3 linked regions of the Rattus norvegicus genome follow. The protein of the gene in region 2 interacts with the protein of the main gene of each other region in a pairwise test. Links are inferred from orthologs where the notes say so. Each region holds a gene or a part of one and is shown on either strand. Other genes may lie near its edges. The genes, in order: Trim54, Kifc3 and Cby2.

What was found.
Region 1: the proteins of Kifc3 (region 2) and Trim54 interact in binary tests that used the Homo sapiens proteins (3 or more experiments, as listed by UniProt). The two-hybrid records come from large-scale screens. The link is inferred for Rattus norvegicus from reciprocal best matches to the Homo sapiens genes KIFC3 and TRIM54.
Region 3: the proteins of Kifc3 (region 2) and Cby2 interact in binary tests that used the Homo sapiens proteins (3 or more experiments, as listed by UniProt). The two-hybrid records come from large-scale screens. The link is inferred for Rattus norvegicus from reciprocal best matches to the Homo sapiens genes KIFC3 and CBY2.

The regions. Positions count from the first base shown.
Region 1 is NC_086024.1:30,961,330-30,964,982, forward strand, and holds part of Trim54 (tripartite motif-containing protein 54), read right to left. Parts: coding exon 3,640-3,653; intron 1,908-3,639; coding exon 1,812-1,907; intron 1-1,811. UniProt on the Homo sapiens protein: May bind and stabilize microtubules during myotubes formation.
Region 2 is NC_086037.1:9,829,966-9,833,718, reverse strand, and holds the start of Kifc3 (kinesin-like protein KIFC3), read right to left. Parts: upstream 2,561-3,753; 5' UTR 2,452-2,560; coding exon 2,341-2,451; intron 1-2,340. UniProt on the Homo sapiens protein: Minus-end microtubule-dependent motor protein. Involved in apically targeted transport. Required for zonula adherens maintenance.
Region 3 is NC_086033.1:57,318,306-57,321,441, forward strand, and holds the end of Cby2 (protein chibby homolog 2), read right to left. Parts: intron 1,872-3,136; coding exon 684-1,871; 3' UTR 515-683; downstream 1-514.

The sequences.
Region 1 (3,653 bases), on a different chromosome or scaffold from region 2:
AGCTTTGTTCCAAGAATTCTTGTTAAATGACAACTTCCTGTAACTGCAAAGGATCCACAAGCTCCTCTGACCTCCATGCATGCTAACATTAGTGTGTACATGCCCATACACAGACACACAGGAACACACATAATCGAAAGTAAAACAATAAATCTAAATTTCTAGGATTAATTTACTGGAAATATTGCCACAATATTCAAATATGTTTGGTTAACTATGTATAATAAGGTATGTAATTGTTTCTCATTACATAATTTTAATTAAATGTATTCATTGATAAATGAATATATACACTGATATAATCTCACGTCCCAGCCTCTTTTCTCTCCCTCCATCCTCTATAAACCCCTCCTCCCCATGCCTCTCACATTTATGTCATTTTATTTTGCTTATTTATTTATTGCCACAATTTTATTTGCATTATTTTCAATTGGGTATACGATGTGCTTGGTGTATTTGCCCATGGCGATCAGAGGTCAGAGGGACTGAATTCTCTAAGCTGGGAGTTACAGGCAGTTTTGACCTTGCAGTGCAGGTGCTGGGAACTGAACTCTGGTCATCTGCTGTAGCAATACCTTGTCTCAATCACTGGGCAGTCTCTCCCGTCCCACTTATTTTCGAGACAAGATCAAGTGGGCCTTGAATGAGACATCCCCCTGTCTCAGCCTCCAGAGTGCTGCCATTATAGTTTGGGGCTCTCACACCCTGCTCAATTATTTACTTATTTTTTTTGAAATTTTATTTTTTATTAGATATATTTCTTTATTTACATTTCAAATGTTATTCCCTTTCCCAGTTTCCTGCCCATAAGACCCCATCCCTTCCCCCTCCCCCCATATGGTTGTTCCCCCTAATCCACCCCCCTCCCCCCCACATTCCCCTGCACTGGGGGTCCAACCTTGGCAGGACCAAGGGCTTCCCCTTCCACTGGTGCTCTAACAAGGCTATTCTCTGCTACATATGCAGTTGGAGCCCTGGGCCAATCCATGTATAGTCTTTCGGTAGTGGTTTAGTCCTTGGGTGCTCTGGTTGGTTGGCACTGTTGGTTTTTTTTGTTTTGTTTTTTTTTGTTTGTTTGTTTTTTTTTTTTTTTTGGTTCTTTTTTTCGGAGCTGGGGACCGAACTCAGGGCCTTGCGCTTCCTAGGTAAGCGCTCTACCACTGAGCTAAATCCCCAGCCCCAAGCACTATTGTTTTTATGGGGTTGCAAACCCCTTCAGCTCTTTCAATCCTTCCTCTAATTCCCCACAAGGGGTCCTGTTCTCAGTTCGGTGTTTTGCTGCTGGCATTGACCTCTGTATTGGACATGCTCTGGATGTGTCTCTCAGGAAAGATCTATATCCGGTCCCTTTCAGCATGCACTTTTTAGCTTCATCAATCTTATCTAGTTTTGGTGGCATATATATATATCATATATATACTTATATGATATATATATATCACATACATGTGGGGTAGGCTCTGAATGGCCGTTCCTTCAGTCTCCTATTTAGTTTATTTAGAAATAGGATTTCCATAATTCTCTTAGGCTGGCCTGGAACTTGCTATCATCCTACCTCCATCCCTCTGGTCATCACCATGTAATATAGCAAAAAAACAAACAAAATGAAAGCCTGGGAAAGGGAAATAATGTGACCAACGTTACAGAGCTGCTGGGTGCCAGGAGCAAGCTGGTTAAAAACAACCCACCATGAGCTAGAGTCTGGAAACTTTTTGACCAGCCTGACCAGAAGTCAAAGAACTCTTCTCTGTGTATCTCGGAGACTCTGAACGGACCACTTTGTCCCCTCTGTCCTGCCAGCCCGAGCTTACCTCAATGGTCTGGCACACCTCCTCCATCTGCGTGATCACTGCCTGCACACGGTCGTTGCCTGCCACCAGCATCGCGATGCCGTCACTCAGCTCACTCTGTCACACACACATGGGCCAGCGTTAGAGCTGGAAGTCCCAGCCCCAACCCCTCTCGTCCCACCTGGATCATTTGGGGACATCTGCAACGATCTAGAGGGCTGGGGAGGTGACACTATCTAGACACCCACCATGTACCATACTCTGGGCTAGATGCTTCATGAGCAGGGTCACAGCTTTCATTAATTCTGGAGGTCTTGGGGCTACCCACTCAGACAACACTGCTCCCTTCTATTCATGTCCTTCTGGGAGTCCAATAGGACTGTGTCCGCTTTCCCATTCTCCACCTGCCACTTCCTGGTGCTACTGCATTCTATTTTTTGTTTGTCCTTTTCACTTGTTTGCCTGTTTGTACTCTTCCTCCATTCAGTGATTCTTCTGAGAAATCCATCACTTGGTCCGTCTACTGATTTTCCCACAGTTATTAGCTTCCACTCAGTTCTTTCTCAGATCTATTTTCCCTGTGTTTTGGTTTGGGTTTTTCTTTGATTGGGCCTTTCTATATTATCTACACTGGCTTTGAATCTGATATCCTCTTTCCTTGGCCTCCCTAGTCACTGAGATTACAGTGTACATCACCACAACAGGCCGCTGCTGTTACATGGTCATTTTATACGTCTGTTTCAGGTCTGGGAATCTATCTAGGGCTTTGTGCTAAGGCAAGTGTCCTATATCTCCAATTCCACCTTTCGTTATTGTTGTTATCGTTGTTTTATTTCATCTTTATTTTTCTTTAAAACAGGGTCTTTCCTTATACAGCCCAGGCTGACTTGGAACTCTTTATGTAGCCCAGGCTGGCCACACAGCATCCTGAGTGCTCGACCACACCTGACATTATTCTATCTTCTAAAAACACCGTGTACATAGCAAGTTTCCGTTCTCAATATCAGCTTTTGAATTCCCTGAGGGTTCACAGTGTCACTGTTTCTTTCTTTTTTTTTTTTTTTTTTTGAGCTGGGGACCGAACCCAGGGCTTTGCGCTTCCTAGGTAAGTGCTCTACCACTGAGCTAAATCCCCAGCCCCAGTGTCACTGTTTCTGATAACTTCACTCATGTGGTCCATTTCTCTGTGTGTCTTCCGTTGAGAGAGATTGTGGCATTGATCCTAATCTAAGGGCCTGCACTGAAGGTATTTTCCTCCAGCTTGACACTTGCATTTGTTTGTCAAAAGCCAGGTGACACAGCTGACTGCCTTGATATCCTGGGACTTCAACCCCAGCTGATGTTTGGGGACTCAAACACACCTCTACCTGTACACGTTTTGCAGGTTTTGTGGCACAGCCTCCATCTCTAGCCAGAACTGTGCCAGCATTGGTCATCTGAGGAGTGGCATCTCTCCTGTCTACAGGACTTCTCTGGCCCTGCCCTCCCAACCCCTCCTAGGATGCCCTTCTCTTCTCAGAGGCCAGCTACTGTGATCTTAAAACCGTGCATATCTAGAAGCTAGCTGTGTGGTTTCACACTCTTGAGGGCATCTGGTCCTTTGGTGGATACGGTCCTGAAGTGGCTCCCGTCAGGTATTAATTAGCTGATGCTGTGACGACAGCAACTATGTCTTCACCTCGCCTGTCCAGAGAAGGCAGGCAAGGCCAGCGAGGTCAGGCAATTGCCTCAGGGTCATGTGCAGAGTCAGGACCAGAGCTGGGGATTTGCCCTGCTCAGCTACCCCTTACCTAAGTACAGTGAGAACTGCCCTGTCCAACCCCCTTCCCATCCCTCCCTGAGTACATACCTTCTGGCGTTTGT
Region 2 (3,753 bases):
GCGGAAAGGCAGAAAGGCGGAGTAAAGTTTAGAAAGACCAAACCGACTTGAATGAAACAAGCTTACGTAGAATTCCCCTTTGTCACGGAACCCCAATCCTCTTTACAGCACTGGGCAGGACAGGTTCCCAGTCCTGTAGTAAATCAGATACAGTTGGCCAGGGCCAGTGCTCCCCAGGAAACTGCAAGCCAGAAGGGCAAGGGGTCCCATGGGCAGGAAATCATTTTTTTTTCTTAAAGGTGAAATGGTTCAGGAAGCTGAAGTGTTGGTTGGCAGTCTGTGCTTACATGAGGAAAAGGTAGCTGGGGTTCTGGAAGCAGATCCGGCAGGCAGGGTGGTTCTCCTCATGCCTGCCTGTGCCTGGCAGCTCTTCCACCCTTCAGAGCTCAGCTAAAGAGGCATCCCCTTGCCACATGGTGGTGGCACAGGCCTCTAATCCCAGCACTCAGGAGGCAGAGGCAGGTGGATCTGTGCATTTGAGGCCAGCCTGGTCACAGATCGAGCTCCAGGATAGTCAGGGCTACACAGAGAAACCCTGTCTCAGAGAGAGAGGTGTGGGGAGGCATCCCAGCATCCCCCCAGCCCCTCTGAAGGGCCTTTCTCGCCATCCCTATCTACTAAGTGCTTATTGGATTCAGGCATGAATTCAGAAGTGGCTCCCTAGTCCCAGGGAAGAACCTGTCCTGAGGTCCTATCCTGTCACCTGAGTTCTTGTTCCCACTCTGGAGGCTCCATGGGAGCCGGGATCAACTGTCCTGGCATACTGCAAGCCCCGAAAAATGCAAGCCCAAGGAGAGAGAAAAATGCTGACCCATGCCTATACATGAGACAGGGGGACGGAAACGTGGCAGCCAGATTGGGCTATATGTGGTGAGTTCAAGGCCAGCCTGGGCTCCGTCACAAACAGAGCAAGGCAAAACCACAAAACGAACAAGCAGAAGTGAACAGCAGCTCTTTCGGAAAACACCAAACAGGTTCAGAAGCCTGCACGACTCGAGCAAATCCACCCGGGAGCTTCAAACATGCAAAGGGACAGCATTTTGCCCCAGCTTCCCCGACTCATCATCACACTTCTATTCAGTTTGCAGAAGTTTTAGTTTGAGATACAAAGTAACCTTCTGATGGGTTAAATCAGTGTGACACCTGGCCCAAAGGAAACAGGGCATTCTGCATTGGCAAATACTTCTAGGTTTCCAGGGCCATCCCCAAAGAGCCCTCCTTCTTCATTCCCAGGACATTCTGTCCATCCAGCGCAAGGGTAGCCTAGCTGCCTAGCATGAAGGCCACTTCAGACTGTTCGCCATGACTGTGGGCCAAGGAGAGAGAAAGAATGTCCTGAGCCTTATCAGTGCGTCAGCCAGAGGAAGAGGATTCCGAGGGCAGCAGCATTAGGATAACTAAATACACTGGGGCTGGGCGTGCTGGTGAATGTCTTTAATCCCAATTCTGGAGGGACAGGTGGATCTCCGTGAGTTCTAGGGCAGCCTGGTATACATGGTGAGTCCAGGCTAGCCAGAGCTACATAGTGAGACTGTCAAAAAAAATGAATGAATGAAAGGAAGGAAGGAAGGAACAAACAAAAGACAGGGGTCTAGGAAGTTTAGCCCAGTGGTAGGGTACCTGCCTAGTAGGTACAGGCCTTGAGTTATCCCCGGCACCTCACAAAAAGAAAGGAAAATATTAGTGTCGTATTCTAGAAGAGGATGACCATGAAGATGGGGAGGGGAGGTTATCGGTTTGGGGAGCCGTGGTGCCAGGAATGGAACCCAGAGCTTGTGTATGCTGGGCAGACAGATCTATCACTTCCCTAGGTTCTCAGGCCTGGGGGTGTGAGGGGTCTACCTATAACTCTAATTAATGCTGTGGGTGGAGTAGGGCTGGGGAGTATTCTAGAGTGAGCCCCTTTAGTTGAGAGGTTATTACCCAAGAGTACTTGGTGTACATCCATTTGGAATGTCATGCCAGAAGGCATTTCCAGGGGCCATGAAATGACTCAGGAACACCTGTCTCCAGGAATAAGAACTGAGTTGGGTCCTCCTGTCCCACGTAGTGGAAGGAGAGAACTGACTCCTACCAATGGAACACACGTCCACACGTGTGGTCCTGCGTGTGCGTAAGCATGTATATACACAAATAAGTACGTGTTAACTCCAAGAGGCAATTTCTGAAATCTTAGTCCCAAAACACAGACACTTAGTTAACACCATTTTTCTTTTCCTGTCTTGGTAGTAACTTGAACCCCAGAAGCATCTCGATCCTCTAGCCAGAGAAACCCGTCTTACCTGAAACCTCTCTCTGCCTTCCCCCTCCTTCCCACTGTCCCTCAGCCCTGGTCCTCACCTTATTCTGCTGCGTGGTGATCCCAGTCTCCACTTCTGGCTCATCTTTGTCTCTGGATCTCCAGAAGGCTGCCAGGGTCCCTTCTCCGAACAGCAGCTCAGCCCAAGACATTCCCGAGCCAGCTTCCTTCCCTAGTGCCCCACAGCCTTCGGGCTAAAGTACAAATTCCTAAGCGAACACCTCCCTGGAGGCTCGGCAGCCATCCCCTCCTCCTGCCCAGTGTCCTTTAGTTATCAGTCACAACCAGCTGCCCACGAACCAAGCCTTCAAAAAGTACTGCCCAACACGAACATGCTGGAACACACTGTTTGGAGCCCACAAAAAAACCTTGTCTTTCAGTGTCTAGTGTTGTCTCACCAAAAATCGTCCTACTCTTGACACTCAAGGGGCTAAAGCAGGAGGATTCCAAATTCAAGGCCAGGGGTTGGGGATTTAGCTCAGTGGTAGAGTGCTTGCCTAGGAAGCGCAAGGCCCTGGGTTCCGTCCCCAGCTCCGGGGGGGGGGGGGGGGAGAACCAACTTCAAGGCCAGCTTGGGCTAAATAGTGAGTTAAGACCTTCTGGCAATAAACAGAAACAAACCCAAAACCCTTCCTTTTAAAATCCTATTGCACATAATGGGTACATGGTTCTGAACAGACCACGGGTCTGGTATAGGTGGGGTCCTGGGCTCCGTCCTCATCAACATTAAAAACAAGTCCCAAATTCTTCTCATAGCTGTTTGCAATCACCTCTGTCCTAACAGTGTATCTACGCTGTGCTTGTGTGGCCCTCTTGCTTTATTTCTTAAGAGAGGGTGACTTTCTACCACCCTCGCCTTATATTCTTTTTTTTTTTTAAAGATTTATTCATTTATTATCTATAAGTACACTGTAGCTGTCTTCAGATACACCAGAAGAGGGCATCAGATCTCTTTACAGATGGTTGTGAGCCACCATGTGGTTGCTGGGAATTGAACTCAGGACCTCTGGAAGAGCAGTCGGGTGCTCTTAACCGCTGAGCCATCTCTCCAGCCCTCGCCTTATATTCTTAATTTTTTTCGAGTATCATGCAAAGCTAAAGTTACCTGATCGTTGCTTCTATTTTATCTATGTTTGTTATTTTGGTTTGATGAGACAGGCTCTCACACCGAAGCTCAAATTGAACTAGAACTATGTAGTCCAGGCTAGCCACCAACTCACTCTAATCCATCTGCCTCAGCTTCACACGTGCTGGCTAGAATTAAAGGTGTGAGTCGCCACGCTAGACTATTTTAAAATTTTTGTTTTACACTGGGCAGTGATGGTGTACTGTACGTCTATAGGCAGATCTCTGTGAGTTTGAGGCCAGTCTGGTTTACAGGCTAGTTCCAGGAGAGCCAGAGTTATACAGAGAACCCTGTCATGAAAAACAAAAAGAAAGAAAGAGAAAAGAAA
Region 3 (3,136 bases), on a different chromosome or scaffold from region 2:
CTTGGCTCATTTCCTAAAGAATGTAACCCGAGGATCCTAACTAGGGACTTCATGTGCTAATGACAAGTCCATGTGGATTCCCCAATTTTTGTAGATTTTGGTAGGGGGTATTGATGGGCAGCGGTCTACAGGAACTCTGGCTTTCAGCTCAATGTCATTCTAAAAAAAGTCGGCCTGTCGGTCTGTGGCCTGTGCCCCATCTCCTAACCCCTTGCATTTTGCAAAGCCATTTTTTTTTTACTATGTAGCCTAGATAAGCCTTAAGTTCACAATCCTCCTGCCTCAGCCTCCTGAGTCTTAAAAGAGTACAGAAATGTACCATGATAGCCAGTTAAGACTGAAGAAGGGGAGAGAAGGTACAGGGGCTGAAAGAAGAGAGAGGGGGACATGTTAATGAGATAGTTAATGAAGGAGGAGGGGCAGGAGGAGGGGGAGGAGGAGGAGGGACAGAGGGAAAGAGGTAAGACGTTAAAAGAGCAAGAAGGAAGGAGAAGGAGAAGCCATAACTCCACGGTGGTGTTGGCTGGCCCCAGCCTCCTCTGCCTTTATTGTGTCTCGGGTGGATGATGGCCCTTTCTCCGCTGTCCCACAGGCACGCACTGCTGGGCCAACACAAGGAAGACAAAGGAAGGTTGAGGATTCTCTCCGGCCTGGTCTTGGCGTCTATGTCCACTGCCGAGGCCTCAGACCCTGCTGGGCTTTTTGGGATCTTTGTTGTTCTTGGCCGGCATGAAGGCATACAACTCCTCAATAAGCATCTCCATACGAGCTGTGACCTCAGTCACCGTGTCGATGACCAGCCGCTGCTGCAGCTTCAGCTTGTTGTTCTCCCACAGGGCCTTGTTCTCCTCCTGGAAGACGCGATGCTCCTCACGCATGGCGTGGAGAGCCCTGTTCTCCTCCTGCAGCAGCCGGTTCTCCTCCCTCAGGGCCTGCAGTGCCTGATTCATCTCTCTCAGCAGCTGCAGGGGCTGAGCGCTGTCAGTTAGATTAGGGCCTGCCTTGCCCTCTTCTTCCCCAGATGGCCCGGACAAGTTGGTAACCATCTCCCTCAGGGCGCGCAGCGTCTTCGAGTCCTCCTGTGTTGTAGGGGACGCTTTGGGCTCCTCAAAGTGGGAGGAGTGGCTTGTGCTCTGATCTGGCAGAAGCCCTGAATTATGGGGTTCCTCCTTGGGTGAGGAGGTGGGCTTGCCCTCCTCAGCAGAAGTCGCACTCTCTTCTGCCTGTGCCCAGTAGGCCTGCCTCTGCTCCAGCAACTGCTGGAGGGCCCGGTTCTCCTCTCGAATGAACTGTAGGGTGTTCTCCTTGCTACGCTGGGCAGGCAAAGTGGCGTTGTCTTTCTTCACTACTTCCTGGGAGGTTGTGTCTTTGTGCAGCAGTGGCGAGGAGGTCTGACTCTCCTCGTGGCCCAAAGTGACCTTGTGCTCTTCCCAAAAGACCTGTAGAATCTTGTTCTCCTTGCGGAGGGCCTTGTTCTCATCCCTCAGAGCCCTGTTCTCATCCCGAAGAGACTTGTTCTCTTCCTGCAGCAGGTACTCCTTGGCCATCCTCTTGTGGTGCAGTTTATGGTGGAAGGAGGAGGAGGGAGAGAAGTAAGGTGACTGCAGGCGGCAGCTCTCGTTCACCCAACGCCCATCTTGGAAGACAAACATCTCGTCGCTAAGCTGCACTCGGGGAGGGTTGTAGTCTAGTTCCAGGTCGGCCTGGGAGGTGGGGCGCTCCATGGGGTCAAAGGGCATAGAGGAGAAGCGGTTGAGTGGGTAGGAGTGCTGGCTGGCTACCCTGCGGCTTATCCGGGGCATGGCAGCCTGCCTGGAGCAGCGAGGAGTGGTGTATAGGTTGTGGAGCCTCAGGAAGGGCTCCGTGCCCCTCTGTGGGAGGAAAAGCAGGGAAGCTGTTAATGGAGAAACTGTTAAGAGGACTGCTCAGGGTGGACTAAGAGGCCTGGAGACCCCCTCATATGACCTCCAGGGATCTTCACAAGGAAATATACCCAGCCTTTGCTATTCTGGGTAGCATTCTTCTGAATTAATGATCACGGAACCATGGTTCCTAGGGGGAAAAATGGGGCAGTTTCATCATAAAATTTCTGTCGACTGACCAGATAGAACACCGTGCTTCTGTTTAAAGACACTGTCATGGATACGCAGACTGACAGTGGGTGCATCATATACCATGAGCAGAGTTTATCTGACAAGCTCGCTCTTCGGGGCACAGCACAGACCGTGGTTATTAAGAAGAGTCTTTATTCGGTCCCCAGCTCCGAAAAAAAAGAACCAAAAAAAAAAAAAAAAAAGAAGAGTCTTTAACTGTATCTGTAGATGCCACTTTAAACGGTGAAGCCAACAAGGAGCACAAAAGTTTCAAAACCAAGCTGGCTTATAAACTGAAAACAAGACCCTTTGCCAGGATGAGTGTTCAAACAAGGGGGAGCACCCGAACCACAGTTCTTGGCCGCATACCCACATACAAACTCTGTAGATCCTAGAGAGACCACAAATACTCTATGAGCACTAAAGCTGGTGTAGTCAAAAGGTCCATACATTCAGTCATAACTATAAAACCTATAAATAATTAACCGTGCACTGGGCAGGCCTATAACCCCAGATACTCAGAGACAGTGTAGAAAGGAATATAAGCAGAACTTCCAGACCATACTGGATGCTTTCTATAGCAAGTCCCGACCAGGACTGCATAAAACAAGACCCTGTCTCAAAAAAGGAAAAGTCACACATAATAAGACCCAATCATGTGGCAGAAATGAAAGGTACTTGTTTTTTTTTTTTTCTTAACCTCTGGCCTTACCACTTATCAGTTATATGAATCTGGGCAAGTTGTGTGAATTCCAGTTTCTACAGTGTTAACCTGGGATAACTGCACCACCTTGAAGAAGGCATCAGATTTCTCAGAGTCGATGTTACAGGCATTTGCAGGAAGTCCAGCTGGTTATGTGGCCGCATTTTACCTGTATAATTCACTTAATCCTCATAGCGCTGGCAAGCGAAATACTATTTTAGCTTGAACATCCCTAATCTGAGAGTTCTTACTTCCAAAGTGCTCCAAACTCTGAAGTTTTCTGAGCATCTATGTAGTGTCTAAAGTGAGAAATCCCACACTTGCCTTCACACAGGTCCAT